Linked DNA regions of Arabidopsis thaliana. The protein of the gene in region 1 interacts with the protein of each later gene in a pairwise test. Each region holds a gene or a part of one and is shown on either strand. Other genes may lie near its edges. The genes, in order: FTSZ2-1, PARC6 and RPL12-A.

Evidence for each region.
Region 2: the proteins of FTSZ2-1 (region 1) and PARC6 interact in a two-hybrid assay, tested with the Arabidopsis thaliana proteins (one study listed by BioGRID).
Region 3: the proteins of FTSZ2-1 (region 1) and RPL12-A interact in a protein complementation assay, tested with the Arabidopsis thaliana proteins (one study listed by BioGRID).

What each region holds. Positions count from the first base shown.
Region 1 is NC_003071.7:15,196,067-15,202,631, reverse strand, and holds FTSZ2-1 (Tubulin/FtsZ family protein), read left to right. Parts: upstream 1-2,028; 5' UTR 2,029-2,163; exon of another isoform or gene 2,164-2,615; 5' UTR 2,616-2,699; coding exon 2,700-3,332; intron 3,333-3,497; coding exon 3,498-3,797; intron 3,798-3,882; coding exon 3,883-3,973; intron 3,974-4,274; coding exon 4,275-4,399; intron 4,400-4,601; coding exon 4,602-4,694; intron 4,695-4,776; coding exon 4,777-4,971; 3' UTR 4,972-5,263; downstream 5,264-6,565. Other genes in the region: AT2G36255 (Defensin-like (DEFL) family protein), read left to right, coding at 904-964, 1,052-1,230; AT2G36240 (pentatricopeptide (PPR) repeat-containing protein), read right to left, coding at 5,476-6,565. UniProt on the Arabidopsis thaliana protein: Exhibits GTPase activity which converts GTP ligands to GDP.
Region 2 is NC_003074.8:6,630,567-6,638,455, forward strand, and holds PARC6 (plastid division protein), read left to right. Parts: upstream 1-2,070; 5' UTR 2,071-2,243; coding exon 2,244-2,546; intron 2,547-2,845; coding exon 2,846-2,959; intron 2,960-3,036; coding exon 3,037-3,174; intron 3,175-3,249; coding exon 3,250-3,354; intron 3,355-3,445; coding exon 3,446-3,568; intron 3,569-3,778; coding exon 3,779-4,147; intron 4,148-4,249; coding exon 4,250-4,345; intron 4,346-4,489; coding exon 4,490-4,606; intron 4,607-5,014; coding exon 5,015-5,080; intron 5,081-5,165; coding exon 5,166-5,918; coding exon of another isoform or gene 5,919-5,981; exon of another isoform or gene 5,982-6,025; coding exon 6,026-6,216; intron 6,217-6,302; coding exon 6,303-6,387; 3' UTR 6,388-6,726; downstream 6,727-7,889. Other genes in the region: PREP1 (presequence protease 1), read right to left, coding at 33-207, 582-756, 1,023-1,308; AT3G19184 (AP2/B3-like transcriptional factor family protein), read left to right, coding at 6,989-7,135, 7,215-7,304, 7,508-7,542, 7,641-7,803. UniProt on the Arabidopsis thaliana protein: Component of the plastid division machinery required for PDV1 localization to constriction sites. Involved in chloroplast division site placement. Required for the proper formation of FtsZ rings at the division site in nongreen plastids (e.g. etioplasts).
Region 3 is NC_003074.8:10,316,530-10,321,225, forward strand, and holds RPL12-A (ribosomal protein L12-A), read left to right. Parts: upstream 1-1,975; 5' UTR 1,976-2,046; coding exon 2,047-2,622; 3' UTR 2,623-2,623; exon of another isoform or gene 2,624-2,903; intron 2,904-2,951; coding exon of another isoform or gene 2,952-3,121; 3' UTR 3,122-3,391; downstream 3,392-4,696. Other genes in the region: MDAR4 (monodehydroascorbate reductase 4), read left to right, coding at 1-199, 285-403, 597-1,352; AT3G27831 (Gamma-thionin family protein), read right to left, coding at 2,952-3,121, 3,500-3,563.

The DNA.
Region 1 (6,565 bases):
GTAAAGCCCGAAAGAATTAGTATTAGTAATATATAAAGTTTGTATTGAATATGGGATGATGAAACGATCTAGCTTCCAGAAAAAGTCTTAATTACACAACATAATAATAACTACCAAACGTGTCAACGCTCCCGTATTCGTCCACTAACATTCTCCCATGAACCCTAAGTTATAAGTCCTCCAAGGCTACGATCACATTTACAAGCGGAAAATTGTTGTGTTTGATTTGTTTCTTGTTTTATTCTCACTCTAAGCCTCTGGTTATATAGCATTTTTTGGCGGAAAAGCTAATCGCAAAACATGAGATTATAATTATGCGACATGTCAAATTGTTATGAAAACATTTTATATAATAAGAAATTTATTTGGTATAGTATCATATGAAACAAAGAGTCAATACAATATCAATGTCATTATATGTGCTCATTATGTTAAGTTGAGTCAAGGCACTTTACTAAGAACACTTCAATAATTATATTTAACTATTTCTGTGTATTCATACGTATGATACAAGGTTTGGTGTTCTATATACTTTATCCTCATCCCTTGAATTTTAGTTGGGCCAAAATAATGACATTAAAATTATAATATGTTGCTATATAAAAAATTGTTACAATTTGGATGCAACATAGAGAGATCATTAGCGAGACATTGGGTGGATCGTGCAATTCATTTCTGTTTTGTCAACTAGCAATTCAAATTATGGCGACATTATATACATTAATCCATATTACACAAAAACTAATAAACTATATATGTCTTGGATTCAAATAGAAGAAATAAAAGTCAACGAGTTTGCCCTATAAATGATTCTATGCTTTCAAATAGTTAGCTACAAGCTCATCAATCTCTGCTCTATTAAAAAAAGAAGAAGAAGCAAACACAAAACAACAACAAAGAAATATGGCAAAGCTCATAGTTAACTTCTCTGCTCTCTTGATGATCATCTTGTTGGTTTCTAATGGTAATTTTAAGATTTTCTTAACTTCCTTTGTCCTATATTAATATCGATATGGATGTGAAAAGATTAATGTGAGAATGGTTAAAACAGGACTCCCAAAGGCGGTAGCCCAAACATGCTTTAAAGGTGAAGCTCAAGAGGGTGTGTGTGTTAAAGTTGACGGCTCAAAATTGTGTGACCTTCTTTGCAGGGCAACCAACACAACTTGGTTTGGGGCATGTGAAGTGGAAGACAACGAGACGCACTGTCACTGCTACGGACCTTGTTAAGTATCTCATCCGGACGCAAAACCAAATATGAAACGTGAATAATTGTGTATCAGTACCTAAATAATGTGTGCATTGCTTATGATCAATGTCACATATCTACATGTGTGTTCCATGTTTGTGTGTTTTTATTTTATCGCTTTCAATAAATTTGCATCAGCACCGTAAATGTAGCTGATGCGATAAATGAATGTAAGATTAAATCTGTTTATTATGTTTGCTTTTGGTGTTCCATTATCTCTCCTATATATATGTCCTCTTCTTTTTCTTCATTCTTGTCATTAATCTATATGTATGTGCTATTTTTTGTTGAACAAAGGCTAATGAGTCTTATCTATAACACCAAATCAACTCCTAATAGTAATAGAACTCTTAACCTAAACTCAAAAGAAGTAAAGTACAAGGAAAACTCTAATCAAAAGTTCAAAACCATATTCCTAAACCATGAAACATAAAGGAATATCACAACCTCGAAACTCTTTTGCCGTAACGACTAGAGTTGCTTTTTGTTTTTAGTTAATTCAAATGATGACATTATTGTTCCAACTATGTAATGTAGCCACCACATTTTTCTTGTAATTTTTTTTGTTTCCTTCATAAAATTCATTTAGCAAATTTACACAAAAAATTCAATGAAAGTACATGAAATGAAATTTAAAGTACAATCATTTCCCATAGTTTTTTTTCTTACCAACACCAACATAACAGTGATAAATTGGAACAAAATTTTACCAAAATAAAAATAAAAATTTTATGAACAAAAGCATTTTTTATATATTTTTTAATTATTGGGGGTTTAATGAATTTGAGATATTTACTAGTCAGAAAACACCAAAACCCTCCGTTTCGTGGGTTTCCTCCAGACCTTGAGCTCCTTGTTCAATTCACACTTTTTCTCTCCCAACTCTTCTTCCAGGTTTCCTCTGCTACTCTCAGGTTTCTCTTCTCCACTTCCCTCCAGCTTTATCCTTTTGATTTCGTCCTCCATCTTACTGTATTTACCCAAAAATCTAAGCTTTTCTCAGTGTTCTTCCATTTCTCTACTTTGTTTTCATGTAATGCTGCAAACTTCGCAATACCCATCTTCAATTTCTTCAATTCGTAATGGGAAAAAGCATTTTAGTTTAATTTGGGTTTTGTGGTTCCTCACTTGTTTCATTCTTCTAAGTCTTAAACCATCCACTGATTCTCAATTTCTGAGGATTTGATATCTATTGCTGGTTAACAATGGAGCATAGATGCGACTGGGTTTTGTTTATGTTAACTTTATGAATGTAAATCACACTGCTTTGTGGCTACTTTGTGGATTTCGTGTTTTACTTTGTGGCTGAATCATATAACTCTAAATTGAGAGCTTTGGGTTTGACCATTTAGCTTTTTATGAACAGGTCTTGTTAGGGAAGTAATCAGTGGAATTGGATTTAGTCTTTTGGTTCTGAATTTTGTAAAGTCCTGCAGTGATTGGTCTCATTATGGCAACTTACGTTTCACCGTGTTTTACTCCTTCGGATTCTCGGTTACTAACTGTTCTTAGAAAGAATGTTTTACCGGAGAATCATTTAGGCAGGTTGAACTCCATTAGAACGATTGACAGTAAGAAAAACCGAGTTGTTGTTGCCGCTCAGAAATCTGAATCTTCTCCAATCAGAAACTCTCCACGGCATTACCAAAGCCAAGCTCAAGATCCTTTCTTGAACCTTCACCCGGAAATATCTATGCTTAGAGGTGAAGGGACTAGTACAATAGTCAATCCAAGAAAGGAAACGTCTTCTGGACCTGTTGTCGAGGATTTTGAAGAGCCATCTGCTCCGAGTAACTACAATGAGGCGAGGATTAAGGTTATTGGTGTGGGAGGTGGTGGATCAAATGCTGTGAATCGTATGATAGAGAGTGAAATGTCAGGTGTGGAGTTCTGGATTGTCAACACTGATATCCAGGCTATGAGAATGTCTCCTGTTTTGCCTGATAATAGGTTACAAATTGGTAAGGAGTTGACTAGGGGTTTAGGTGCTGGAGGAAATCCAGAAATCGGTATGAATGCTGCTAGAGAGAGCAAAGAAGTTATTGAAGAAGCTCTTTATGGCTCAGATATGGTCTTTGTCACAGTATGTCCTCAAATCTTTATTATTACTATTGCATTTGTTCTTCTTAGTTATAAACTTTGATTGTAGAAAAAGAGGTATGTGTCATTTGTCAATCACTTATCAGCTAGTTCTGGTCTCCATCTGTCCAAAAGAGTGAGGTTTATATGTCTCTTCATCATTTTATAGGCTGGAATGGGCGGTGGAACTGGCACTGGTGCAGCCCCTGTAATTGCAGGAATTGCCAAGGCGATGGGTATATTGACAGTTGGTATTGCCACTACGCCTTTCTCGTTTGAGGGTCGAAGAAGAACTGTTCAGGCTCAAGAAGGGCTTGCATCTCTCAGAGACAATGTTGACACTCTCATCGTCATTCCAAATGACAAGTTGCTTACAGCTGTCTCTCAGTCTACTCCGGTAACAGAAGCATTTAATCTAGCTGATGATATACTCCGTCAGGGGGTTCGTGGGATATCTGATATCATTACGGTATAGCTTTTCTTATGGGCATCCTGTGATCATTTTTTTGTGTATGGCAAATGATTTACCAGCTACGTTTGTCCTTGATTTGTAGATTCCTGGTTTGGTGAATGTGGATTTTGCTGATGTGAGAGCTATAATGGCAAATGCGGGGTCTTCATTGATGGGAATAGGAACTGCGACAGGTAAGTTTGGAATGATGGATAAGCTCATTTAGCTGCATAGTTTCATAAGCAGAACCATTAGTCACTAGATATGTGTCGAAATAGTCTAATTGAACTAATGAGCTAGTAGATTGGTGTGGCAAAGAAACCAGTCTAGTGACTGGGATACTGAAAATGACCATATTATATTCACTGTTACTCAACTATTGTGCATCTATGTCATGATGTAATAATCAAAGTCATGAACCTTGAACTTCTTTTGCGCAAGGTTTTGTTTTGTTTGCAACGTGCTGATTCTTTCATGCTACTTGTAATCATTCAGGAAAGAGTCGGGCAAGAGATGCTGCGCTAAATGCAATCCAATCTCCTTTGTTAGATATTGGGATTGAGAGAGCCACTGGAATTGTTTGGAACATTACTGGCGGAAGTGACTTGACATTGTTTGAGGTTTTTGTCTCTCTCTCTCATCTTTGTTTCTTATCTCTATGTCGATAGATCCATAAACAATAACTGGATCTTGAGAGACGCATTGACAGGGTGTTAAAATCATTTATTTTCTTCCTTCCATAGACAACTTAGAGCAAAGCCTGATTTTGCTTCATACCCCTAAGATGCTCTATAGTTTTTCATACACTTTGGTCTTGTGTAGGTAAATGCTGCTGCAGAAGTAATATATGATCTTGTCGATCCAACTGCCAATCTTATATTCGGTGCTGTTGTAGATCCAGCCCTCAGCGGTCAAGTATGTCCTTTATAATGTTTCTTCTACTAAACATAGATAAGACCTCTAGAGATGATAGAATTGATGTTTTTTTTGGTAAAAGGTAAGCATAACCCTGATAGCTACGGGTTTCAAACGACAAGAAGAGGGAGAAGGACGAACAGTTCAGATGGTACAAGCAGATGCTGCGTCAGTTGGAGCTACAAGAAGACCCTCTTCTTCCTTTAGAGAAAGCGGTTCAGTGGAGATCCCAGAGTTCTTGAAGAAGAAAGGCAGCTCTCGTTATCCCCGAGTCTAAAGCCCAATCTAATCACTACCCTGCACACTGCAGCAATAACAAACGTGTGTGTACTGGTAGTCTGGTACTGCCTTCTGGGATACAGCAAGATGTGTTGATGTATGATCAAGAATCTGTGTGGGTGTGTATATGTTCTGTCACTGCCTCTGGTCGTGTTCTTGAATAGGTTGTTTTAGAAATCGGAGTTTCTCTCTATGTCACTTCCAAAACAAAAAAGGAGAAGAAGAATCACACTTCTCGAACCATAAACATACTTATAAGATTATGAGAGTTTTAGCAGAAATTATTGTCATTTTTCATTCAGTTAATAAAAAAATCAATAGCGATATACCAGCAAACAACTGTGACTTTCGAATAAAAAAAGTTCATCTCCGACGCATGATTCTGTGGCAATGTGCAGCAACCAAACAAAGAACCAACTTGGTTTCCATTTCATATGTTCAAAATAAAATTTGTTGATACATAGATATAGCTTGGGTCTAGTTTACACAGATCAAACACAGGTTACAACATCCGGACTTGTTTCCTTGAGAATTTTCCAGTGCAGGACAAGCCATCCATCAATCTATTATATGTAAAGATATCAGGCAACATATCTTTATCCAACATCTCGTTCACTAGAACTTCTCCTTCCTTTCTTCTCCCTTCTTTCGTGAACCCCGAAACCAAAACATGGTACGTTGTCTCATCGGGTTCATATCCTTTGCTTGATGCCAAAAGTCTCAATCTGTTTGCATCAGTAGAATGATCAGAACTGCAGAGATCCCGAAGAAGCAAGTTAAATGTCACACTATCGGGAAGAATTCCTGCATTCATCATCTTCTCCATAAACCCTGACGCTTTCTCTGTTCTTCCTGATTTCCTCAACCCTTCGACGAGTGTAGTACAAGCAATGAAACATGGGGTTTGGCCTTTCTTCCACAGCTCCTCCATCATCTCCATTGCTCTAACCGCCTTGTTTTCTCCGCAGAGTTTCTCAACCAAACTACCATAATCAAACTCACTAGGTAAAACCCTCTTGTTCAAAAGATCGAGCACCAATCCACAAGCATCGTCAACCCGACCTTCTCTACACAACCCATCAACAAGAATCTCACAAGTAGCTTCTGAGAATCTACAACCTAGCTCAATCATCTCATAAGCCATTTTAACACCTTCCTCGATTTTACCACTGCTCAAAAACCCTCTAATAAGAGTGTTGAAGCTAACCACATTCGGTTCACAACCTTTCTCCTTCATCTCCCTGAACAAATCCAATGCCAAATCAAACTTAGAGCTTCTACAATAACCATTGATGAGAATGTTAAACGTGCATACATCTGGCTTTGCTCTTTCCTTTCCCATCCTCTGGTAAAACCTTAAAGCCTTATCCATATCTCCAGATTTCACATATCCATTCACAACAGTGTTATAAACTCCAACATTTGGTTTACCATCGATCAATCTCTTCATAGTATCAAACGCTAACAAAGCATAATCCATTTTCCTAGCTCTACAATACGCATCAATGGCGGATCGGAAAATAGGTTCAAGCTCTGGACAAGAGAATATACCTGAGGAACAAGGACATGGATTCGCAGCTACAAAAGAGAGA
Region 2 (7,889 bases), on another chromosome or scaffold:
AAAAGAAGGACTTAATGTTTGGCTCATTGTACCTTTGTATTGGTGGAAGCAACTGGGTAGCAGGTCCTATCAGGATATGTGAATGCATTTAGAAAAGTATGCAAACTTCCCTTGAGTAGTTCAACAAATGGCTCTTTTACCGGGTACTTTCTTGACCCACATAGAACGCTATGTTCCAGTATGTGCGGAATGCCAGTGGAATCCTTCCTGCATTAACAACGAAACTATGATCTAAAATTGCTTCCATTATTAGTTTTTGCAAGTCTTTCACAAGGAGGTGCCTGTGGGACCAATATCTACTGAAAGTGCAGTTGCTCATATCGACTTTTAACAAAGCGTTAAGTAATTTGACAAGTTGTAACCTCCAAAACTTAGACCACTTTACAAGTACCAATATATTAGAAGAAGAAACGAAATGACTAGGTCTAATCAGAAAAAAAAAGCTTTGATGAGTAGAGATAAACTTGACCATTTCAATTAGTTAAATTCAAGGAGTGAAGCTTTAGGTACCAATTTCAATTGCCTAATACATACTCAGGTCAAATTTACAGAGAGTAAAAATTATTATGAAGTAAACTTACGGAGGAGTTCTGAAAACAACACCGAAGACCTTGTTCTCATCCTCATTTGACACAGACATCACCTCGCAACCAGTTTTCTTGTGTTTGAAGAGTATCGCCTTTGATTTACACTCTGAGATGAATTCTTCCGACACTTTTTCAAATCCAAGCTTCTCAGCCTCATCTTGACCTACATCTGAATCCAAACAACCAAAAATAAGGAAAATCACGCATCAGCAGAGGTTACACATGGCTCCATTTGATTACAAAGTAGACACAAAGCATGAGATGAAAAATGCACCACACGGACCACACCTATCTACAATTCACAACCTATCCTAAAGTAAGAACCACAATTTCACAAGTGCCACAAATCAACATGTCCGAATTAAGAGAACAAATCAATTAGCAATTAAACTTCAAACAGATTGAAAAAAAGAAGTATATGTGAAAAATTCCAACCAGGATAAAGTGGAGCGGGTTGTGTGGCGACGGCGCGAACAGAGAGGCGAGAGAACTGCCCATTGACACTGCGAACTGCGGCGGAGGGAATCCTCAAACCTCGTCGGAGCAAAAGACGTCTACCGGCGACTGAGGGAGAGGAAATTCGGCGAAGATTGCGACTGGGGACACGGAGAGCTGCCGTCGACGATGTGAGAGACATGTAAGAGCGAGGGAACTGACGAAAGAAGCGAAAGAATAGAGAGGACGAGCTGCGCGAAGCTAAACAAGAGACGGTTCGGAGCATAGCTACCGGAAAAAAAATATTCCCGGCGGAGACTGCTACTGACGGAGACGAAATTAAGGATATTGCAAAGAAGCTAAATAAACCCAACGGCAAGAGGTTTTATCCTTGTGTAGTTGTGTGTTTTTGCTTGTAGAGGAAAAAAGTAAAATAAAATAAAATGAAATACCTCATTTCTTGTACAACACACAAAATTATTGTGAAAAATATTCTCTATTTTACTAAATTGGCATTTTATTTTTCTGAATTTTTAAGTCGGGACAAAAAAGAGGTGCTGATTTGCAAGAAAGGAAACGTGGTTCTCATATAGCCAAATGTGTTTGAGTGTTGCAATTTGCTATCCTCCAAAAATATAATGACTACAAAATATCTTAAATCTTTTTTCATGATATTAAACTTAAGTGAAAGTATTACAAAATCTGATCAAGTTAAAAGTTTACACCAGACATATACTTTCCAGGTATTTGATTCAGAAAAAATCATATTGATCAGATTTAAACAAATTTTAAATTATATATAAGTTTTTTCTTACACACAAATTAAACCTTTGATCAGTACTAGACTACTGGTAGCATGCGATGAGCTTGCAGTAGTTTCTCTCGCACATTAGTTATGGGCCGAGAGCTAGGCCCATGTCCAGGGACGGATAAAATAATCTTCCAGATGTTTCTTTATTATCCACGTGGCGTGATCACGTGACCACGTCTCGTCTCGTCTAGTCCTAGATTAGCAGAGCCTCTCTTTCGGCCAGCGGGTTACCTTATTATCGTCACAAGACGAAACTTTCAGAAAAAGGCAAAAATCACTGTCAAAACTCAAAAGCCTTGAGACCAAATTTCCGATTTTTTCTCCTCTGAAGAAATCCAACAAATTGTACCATGATTCCAGCTTCACTCTACTTCTTCTAGGGTTCGTTCGTTTTCTGGAGCTGTTGCGCAATGCCAGTAGCTTACACATTTCCAGTTCTCCCTTCTTCTTGTCTGCTTTGCGGAATCTCCAATCGCAGCACCAGCTTCGTCGTAGATCGCCCGGAGCTTCAGATCTCAGGTCTCCTCGTCGTTCGTTCTGAATCCGGTGAATTCTTCGGTTCTGGTTTATCTTTGCGGCGGTTTCAGCGAGAAGGACGGAGGAGGTTGAATGCTGCTGGTGGTGGTATCCATGTCGTCGACAATGCGCCGTCTCGTACTTCTTCTCTCGCTGCATCTACCTCTACAATCGAACTCCCGGTTACGTGTTACCAGGTATTTTGCTCCGACTGACTTACTTTTCGGAATCTCTGTAGATACTACTATCTCTCGCGATTTGCTACTTAGCTCCTCGTTGAAGTGCAAGTGGAACTTGTTTTTATCCTTCTAAATTTTGTTGAAATAGAAACATTTTCCTCCAATTTGTAGTCTCTAGCGCGTAGAACGAGATGGATGTATTGATTTGGCAATTTAATATTGTATCATAGTTCATTTCTGCAATAGAGTGTAAAGAATGTAGCGTTTCGTTTGTTAGACATTATTCCAGGATACTGTTAATTGTATTGATTTTGCAGCTTATCGGAGTTTCTGAGCAAGCTGAGAAAGACGAGGTCGTTAAGTCGGTTATAAATTTGAAAAAAACTGATGCTGAAGAGGGTTATACAATGGAAGCTGCTGCAGCTCGCCAGGTTAAGACCTATAGTATCACTAGAGTTGGACAGGGAATGTGGCTTCAGTTTCTTGATACTTTGTTCTTAATGTGTAGGATCTTCTCATGGATGTTAGGGATAAACTTCTTTTTGAATCAGAATATGCTGGTAACCTAAAAGAAAAGATTGCTCCTAAATCTCCTCTCAGAATTCCGTGGGCATGGTTGCCTGGTGCTCTATGCCTTCTTCAAGAGGTACTACTTCTGACCTTTTATTGCGTTTTATCCCTGCAAATGTTTTGTACTGATCTTTCTGCTACTATGCTTCAGGTTGGACAAGAAAAACTTGTGCTGGATATTGGCCGGGCTGCTCTCAGGAACCTTGATTCAAAGCCATATATTCATGATATATTCTTATCTATGGCACTTGCTGAGGTAAAATCAAATGAACTAAGAATGGGAACTAGTTATCTACTTTCACTATCCTCTGCTTCTTCTATCTCTAATATGTTTGTTTTCCATTTAGTGTGCAATTGCCAAGGCTGCTTTCGAGGTTAACAAGGTCTCTCAAGGATTTGAAGCTCTTGCTCGTGCTCAAAGTTTTCTGAAGAGTAAAGTTACTCTTGGGAAACTTGCATTGTTAACTCAGGTAACAGGTTCTACTGTCTTGCATTAGTATATATAAAGCTTCTCTGAGTTTACTTTTAGCCCTGTTACTGGCTTGAATTATTAAAAGTGCATGATCATGCCTTACTGTAAATCGCATCATGTTTAGGAGCTTCACATATAAGTACGTATTGTCCAAAAGCATAATTTACCAGCATATTGGGTTTTAAGGGGTTAAAATTGATATTTATAGATTGAGGAGTCACTAGAGGAGCTTGCACCACCTTGCACATTGGATCTACTGGGCCTGCCACGCACGCCAGAAAATGCAGAGAGGAGGCGAGGTGCAATTGCCGCGCTACGCGAACTGCTCAGACAGGGCCTTAGTGTTGAAGCTTCATGTCAAATTCAAGACTGGCCATGCTTTTTGAGCCAGGCAATTAGCAGGTTATTGGCCACAGAGATTGTCGATCTTCTTCCATGGGATGATTTAGCCATTACACGGAAAAATAAAAAATCACTGGAATCCCACAATCAAAGAGTTGTTATTGATTTTAATTGTTTCTACATGGTGTTACTTGGTCACATCGCTGTTGGATTTTCAGGCAAGCAAAATGAAACGGTATATCTCGTTTTCTTTCCTTTTGTTAAATTTAGACTGATTGGTCCATTTCTTCTCTACTCTATCTGCTTATAAAGCATAACATTCAGTATGCTTGTGTAGATTAATAAAGCAAAAACGATATGCGAATGTCTCATAGCATCAGAAGGTGTTGATCTGAAATTTGAGGAAGCTTTTTGCTCATTTCTTCTAAAACAGGTATTTTTCCTCTTGCTTTCTTTATTCTTTTTCCCTATCAACTATGCTTGTGCATCTTATTTACTTCAAGTTCACTTGCTTCGAAAGATCCTTGCGTTGTTCATTTAGTTAAGTGCTACTGGACCTACATGTTGGATAGCACAGGGTTCCGAGGCAGAGGCCCTGGAAAAACTTAAGCAGCTGGAATCAAATTCAGACTCTGCCGTTCGTAATTCGATCTTGGGGAAAGAGTCGAGAAGTACTTCTGCTACTCCCTCACTGGTAAACCTTATGATTTTTACCAAGAATATGTGTTCATTTGTTGCTACGACTAGAGCGAGGGCTATGCCTGATGTAAATGGCATGATCAACTCTAGTGGAGTATGAATAAGTTTGAGCTATGTTTCAGGCTGTAATTGAAACAATGGAAATAGATACATTTAGTGGATGGTAGTTAAATTCATAGAATATGCTTTAACAGCATTGTGTATGCCTGCCGTTAACATTTTCTTTTTCGATTGGTTGTACATACACATAAATCTTAATATTTGTTTGAGTAAGCCCTTGGGTTCATGCACTAAATTTAATTTGGAAATTTTGCAAGTATGTACATCTCTTCGCTAGCTCTGATTTTTTTTCATAGAAAGATTGATAGCGACCTTCATACATGCTACCTATAAAATTGACCAGGAAGCGTGGCTAATGGAGTCCGTGCTTGCTAACTTTCCAGACACAAGGGGTTGTTCTCCATCTTTGGTAAGAATCAGATCACTACTGGAAGATTCTGTATAGCAGTTCTATTTTTATGCAGAAAGATAATCATATATACAACTTTCTGCAGGCCAATTTTTTCCGGGCTGAAAAGAAATATCCAGAAAACAAGAAAATGGGGTCACCTTCGATCATGAATCATAAGACGAACCAAAGACCACTTTCCACAACACAGTTCGTGAACTCGTCACAACATCTTTATACAGCTGTCGAGCAGTTGACACCAACAGATTTGCAGAGCCCAGTGGTATCAGCCAAGAATAATGATGAAACCAGTGCCAGTATGCCATCTGTTCAACTGAAGAGGAACCTTGGTGTACACAAAAATAAAATATGGGATGAGTGGCTCTCTCAAAGCAGTTTGATCGGAAGGGTATCTGTTGTTGCTTTACTGGGTTGCACCGTGTTCTTCTCTCTGAAGCTATCAGGCATTAGGTCTGGTAGACTACAGAGTATGCCTATATCGGTTTCTGCTAGGCCGCATTCAGAATCAGATTCTTTTCTGTGGAAAACAGAGTCTGGGAATTTCAGAAAAAACCTTGATTCTGTGAATAGAAATGGTATCGTGGGAAACATCAAAGTGCTCATTGACATGTTAAAGATGCATTGTGGCGAACATCCGGATGCCCTGTATCTGAAAAGCTCTGGTCAATCAGCTACATCATTGTCTCATTCTGCGTCAGAACTGCATAAGAGACCAATGGATACAGAAGAAGCGGAAGAGCTTGTGAGACAGTGGGAAAATGTTAAGGCTGAAGCTCTTGGACCAACACATCAAGTTTATAGCCTTTCCGAAGTCCTTGATGAATCCATGCTTGTCCAGGTTACTGTTTCTATACATCTCCTATTATTCCTTTACTTAATTATGTTAGTTTACTACAGTTGAACATCAATGTTTAGGTAGAGTCAATATTTCTTTGTTTAATGCAGTGGCAAACATTGGCACAAACAGCAGAGGCGAAATCCTGTTATTGGAGGTTCGTTCTGCTTCATCTTGAGGTTTTGCAAGCACATATATTCGAAGATGGTATTGCTGGTGAGGCTGCAGAAATCGAAGCTCTTCTGGAGGAAGCAGCAGAATTAGTTGATGAATCTCAGCCCAAAAACGCAAAATATTATAGGTAAAAAAAAACATTTCGCTTTCGGGTTACTTTTGGACTGAGCTGGTATCTTCTTCACTGATGCAGCCTTTGTAAATTTCTTGTAGCACTTACAAGATCCGATATATTCTGAAGAAGCAAGAAGATGGATTGTGGAAATTCTGCCAAAGCGATATTCAAATACAGAAGTGAAAATCCCCCAGAAAAAAAAGCTCATCATCTAACTAAAGGTTGTAGCATCAACAGTAGAACATGGGATCATTTAGCTAACGGTTGTTCTTGTTTACCTAACGGTGTAGGAAAGTCTCAGGTTTGTTTCTTTATTCCTTAGTAACCCACAGGATTTGTCTTTGTAGATTCTTTTGATTTCAATGTGTTTATGGATAAACAAACTTCTTGAGTATTTTTTTTATTATTATTGTAAAGCGTTACTGATCAAATCAAATGTTTTCTTAAAATAGTTAAAAATATTAAGGGATCTCAAAATAATTGTTAATTATGGAGGGAAAAAAAAGAAACGTCTTTTAAGAAGCCCATACCTGCTTCACGTATCACGATGGAGGCTTACTCAGACCTTCCACTGTTGAGAATTTGAAATTTCAATTTGTTTGATTAGACACAATGATTAAGATTTTTATTACATAAAAAGAAAAAAAAAATTGGAGAAGTATAAACACATACATAGCGGTGAAAGAAGAAACCCAACGGTCACTCAAAAGCGCATTGAAGAGTCAAGCAAGACTTGGATCTGTCTCTTTCGTTTCTCTATCTCTGTTTCGGATTCCTAAGAGAAATGGTGGAATCGGAGCTAAGCTATGAACAGATTCGTTTGAATAGGGTGGAAGAGAACAAGAAGAGAATGGGGGAGCTTAATCTCAACAAGCTTGCTCAATCTCTTCGTGTCTCTTCTTCTTCTTCTTCTTCTTCCAAGCCCTCACCAGTAACGTTTCCTTTCTCTTCTCTTCTCATTTCTTCTTTTCTTTTTCTGAAATTAACCAATTTTTTTTATGGAAATGTAGGCAAAGCCAAGAACGATGCGTATTCCAGTGGATTTCTCGGAGGTCAGGAGATCAAGCCGTGCCAAAGGTCCACCTCCAAGTTATAAAGAGGTCTTTTACTACCATTTATCTTTACTTGAGTTTCCTTAAGGATTTCTTAAGGATTTTGTATGAGATATGAAATTTGTGGGTTTGATCTTTTTGTGCAATTTTTCTTAGTTATAATTTGCGTGAGTTGTTTCTCTTTTTTTTGAATAAAAACGTGAGTTGTTTCTCATTACTCATTATCAGAGTTATCTGATCCTTACTCGCAGTTTGGGCTAGAACCACTGGAGAGGAGGCCAAGAAGGTTGACCAATCCACACTCTCTATGAATACATTACTTCTCTTACACTATTTGATGTTTGTTTTCACTTTTCAGTATAAGTTATGTGTTTTGCTTTGCAGGAGCTCTCGAAGAAGAGATTTGCTGAATCGGGTATATGCTTCGGACGACGCAAGAATGTACGCATTCGACAGGGCAGAGAAGCTCCAGTCAAGCTTAGATTCAGAATATGCAAGCTTTACCAAACCAATGCTCCAATCACACGTGACCGGAGGATTTTGGTTGGTAAGTGAACAACTTGAACATTCAAAGATGTCTGAAACTCAGCCATAGTAGTATGTAAAAGTCCACTGATGTCATATGTTTTCGTA
Region 3 (4,696 bases), on another chromosome or scaffold:
GGGGTGGAAGGCTCAGATGCTGAAAATGTTTGTTACTTACGAGATCTAGCTGATGCAAATAGGCTTGCCACTGTGATTCAATCAAGCTCCAACGGGAATGCGGTTGTTATCGGCGGTGGCTATATCGGTATGGAGTGTGCTGCATCTTTAGTGATCAACAAAATCAATGTGACGATGGTTTTCCCAGAGGCTCACTGCAGTAAGTTCTCTCGATTATTACTAAACTTACGTGTACGAGAGAAAGGTTGTGTATTTAGCTTGACCTTTTTAGTTTCTTATGACAGTGGCACGTCTCTTTACGCCCAAGATTGCAAGTTTGTATGAAGACTACTACAGGGCTAAAGGCGTAAAATTTATAAAAGGAACGGTTTTGACATCATTTGAGTTTGACTCGAACAAAAAGGTAAGATCGTTTCTTTTAGCTTGAGATTCAACTCGAAAAATGTCTGGTACGTTGCATCTATGTATACAACTAAGGATGGCAAGAATCAGTAGAACCACAGATACTTCTGGTCCAGTACTCAAACTATGAAATCTTGAGCCTTGTTCAATGTATTTGTTTATTGATATGAGGTTTTTTGGTTTTCGATTTACAGGTTACTGCAGTTAATCTCAAAGACGGGAGCCACTTACCAGCCGACTTGGTTGTGGTTGGTATCGGGATACGACCAAACACAAGCTTGTTTGAAGGACAGTTAACAATAGAGAAAGGAGGGATAAAAGTGAACAGCAGAATGCAGTCAAGTGACAGCTCAGTGTATGCAATAGGCGATGTAGCTACATTTCCAGTGAAACTATTTGGCGAAATGAGGAGGCTTGAGCACGTGGACTCAGCTAGGAAATCTGCGCGACACGCAGTTTCAGCCATCATGGATCCAATAAAGACCGGAGACTTTGATTACTTACCATTTTTCTACTCAAGGGTCTTCGCATTCTCATGGCAATTCTATGGAGACCCTACAGGTGATGTTGTGCACTTTGGAGAGTATGAAGACGGGAAATCATTTGGAGCGTATTGGGTTAAAAAGGGTCACCTTGTTGGATCTTTTCTTGAAGGAGGCACTAAAGAAGAATATGAAACTATCTCAAAGGCGACACAATTGAAACCAGCTGTGACTATTGATTTGGAAGAATTGGAAAGAGAAGGACTCGGGTTTGCTCACACGGTTGTGAGTCAGCAGAAAGTTCCTGAAGTTAAGGATATTCCGAGCGCTGAGATGGTGAAGCAATCTGCAAGTGTGGTCATGATAAAGAAGCCTTTGTATGTATGGCACGCAGCTACTGGAGTCGTTGTGGCTGCATCTGTGGCTGCGTTCGCGTTTTGGTATGGGAGGAGACGCCGTAGATGGTGAGGAAAAAAAAAACTCTTCAAGTGTTGGATTCATTGGAAATGGAACTTGCTGTTGTTTGTAGCATTGGTGGGAGAAATATAGAAGGGAGAGTCCAAACTACTCAATGTGATTACATTGGTATACGATTATTATATGCTTCTTTTAAAATGCATAAACGTTTCCACTACAAACTTTGATTCAACGTCTTTGAAGCCCTTTGTTACTTGTTAGTGTTCATAATCTTGTGATTATTGGTAGAGTTAATTCGGCAATACGGCAATACCCATAAAATTAGAAAAATAGCAATGAGGAGCTAGCTAACAAATAATTTTGCACACTTATTTAATTGTTATGACAGAAATCATAATTAATAAACAAACTAAATGTGATTAGAACAACAAGGGCGTTTGGTCTAGTGGTATGATTCTCGCTTTGGGTGCGAGAGGTCCCGAGTTCGATTCTCGGAACGCCCCTTTTTATTTTTTTAACTCCTCAACGTCAGGCCTCACGGGTATTTTCGTAAACATACAAACGATACAACCTCATCTATTTGTATATGCGCATGATAGCAAACGTACGCAATATTCTATTCCCCAAAATACCCCTTATCCATCATTTTTCTATCCTCTCATCTTTCATCTTCCTCACACACAATCCAATCAAAACACACAGAGAGAAGAAAAACTCAGAAGAAAAGCCAAAGAGTGAAACAAAAATGGCGTCGACGACTCTCTCAATCGCAACAACAATCCGTTCCTCATCTTATCCTACTCTCGCTTCCATCAATCACTTCCCTTCCCGAACCACCACCATCGAATTCCCCTCTCGCTTCGGTGGTGGTTCATCATCCACATTGACCCACCGTGCAACCCATCTCCGTCCAATCGCCGCCGTCGAAGCTCCGGAGAAAATCGAGAAGATCGGATCCGAAATCTCATCCCTAACCCTCGAAGAAGCTCGTATCCTCGTCGACTATCTCCAAGACAAATTCGGTGTCTCCCCACTCTCTTTAGCCCCCGCAGCAGCGGCGGTTGCTGCTCCAGCCGACGGTGGCGCGGCGGCTGTAGTGGAGGAGCAAACAGAGTTCGATGTGGTTATCAATGAAGTTCCGAGTAGTTCTCGTATTGCAGTAATTAAAGCTGTTAGGGCTTTGACTAGCTTGGCGTTGAAGGAAGCTAAGGAGCTAATCGAAGGATTACCAAAGAAGTTTAAAGAAGGTATCACTAAAGATGAAGCTGAAGAAGCTAAGAAGACTCTTGAAGAAGCTGGTGCTAAAGTCTCCATTGCTTAAGGTTTTTATAAAAAAAAAAAAAGAAGTTGTTATCTTTTCTGGAATTTGATTGGTCTTTTGTGTTGTTTAGTATAGTTTGCGTCTGGAATTGTTGAGAAATTGTTGTAATTTGAATCACATTTGGTTTCCCATTAGCTGATTTCGCCATTGATGTGAGCTTTTTGGTAGCTGCACATAACATGTTTGTTGAAATGCCTAAATGAGGCAAATCACTCGTAGTTGCTTAACATGAAACAGAGTTAAAAATAATAAGCACAAATGTCACTGCTACATTTTTTTACTTAGTATTGTAACACTCATGAAATATTTAGGATATATTATAAACGAGATCATGTATGAATACAAAAACACAGCATATTAACACCAAGTTTGAGGCATTGTCCACCTAAGAAACCTTGTTCTTTGCAGTGCTTATTGCAGTCCGGAAATTTTGAGCATAGACCTTCCACAAGGTACCACCCTCCTTGAGCTTTGGCCATAGATTTTGCGTGTACTTCACCTATCGTTTTCCAAAGATTGTTGTAATATTAGAAAAAAAGTCGTTACTCGTTTAGACATAAAGGCAAAAGAAAAAGAAAATTCACTCGACAAGAATCTCTTGCAGCTGGTAACAACGCAATATCACTATGTATTTTATTTTATTTTTTGTGATAACAAGTTAATATCACAATGTATTGTGAATCACAATGTATTGTGAAAATAATAGTGTATACAATATGTATGGAGATATGATCTAATGTCTGATATAAAATAAGTATTCGGTTTGCTAGTTAGTGTTGAGTGTTAACTCATGAATCTTGCTACTTTGGTTATACTTCAGTATATATGAATAAATTGAATTAAACAGAAAAAAAATATAAACGTTTTTTTGGCATACTTGGGGCGAGAAGAACAATCATGCATAAGAACACAAGGAAGGCGCATTTGCTTGATGAAGCCATTTTTGGTTTTTGTATTGTTTATTTTTCTAATATTTGCTAATGGAACACAATATTACTCAAAACCCTTATTAATATATATATATATATATCTGTATATATAGAGAGAGAAATATGATGAGTTTTTTACTTTGTAAATAAAATTGGATTCTTTTCTTATTTAATCTAGGATATTTTATTACATTTAAGTTATGGTTTTATTTTATATATATGAAATTTTTAATAATCATGATATGGGATGGGGTGGATTTAATTAGTGATGATTATAGGATTTAGATTCAATTTTTTCTATTAGTTTATTTTCATTATGATAACTTTAGGTATCCTACTATATTATTTAGGAAGTACATTTTAAATGTAACCTTAACTTTTGTAATTAATTACATGACAATGCCATTAGAAAAGTTTAATAAAAAAAATCCTTTAATGACGTCATTAAGGTTACCAAAATCATTTAACGACAATATTAATCTCTTAATTATAGGGTTTATTGGATCTACAGACGGGTTAGCAAAATATACTGAATATTCAAATATCTATCTGTTAGCAAATTATAAACAAATAAGTTCGTAAAAGAATTTCATATTTTATATACGAAATCAACTAAATCTTAATCACATAAAAATTAGCACAAAAAAAAAGTATTCAACCATTAAAAAATTATCAAATCTCTGTGTTATATAAGTTTTGATAGTATATTCGAATAAAGTGTAATATACCTTTTCAATTTGTATTCTTTAACTAATTTAAGCTAACTAATATATTTTCTAATCTTATACCTATCAAAACCGACTATCGTTTCTTATCTCTATAGTATTTTTGCAAGACTTTTTTGGTAGATTTGGGTAAAAGTGCATTCGGGTCATATGGTACATTCTCTATTAAATAAATATGGTGCACTCATATGTTATTAGCTAAAATGTTTAGATTATAATTCAGAGTCATATCATAAATAAAATTAATATTAATCAAATAAATGGCTTTTTGGCAAGACGGATTTGGAGGGACGGGTTTTTGAATCAACATTAATAAAAAAGTAAAATATAATTAATCCACCATTTCAGTACGAGTTAAATCTTTAATTTATTATTTTTTAAGACCACTAATATTAAACATATCAAATCATCCTAATTTAG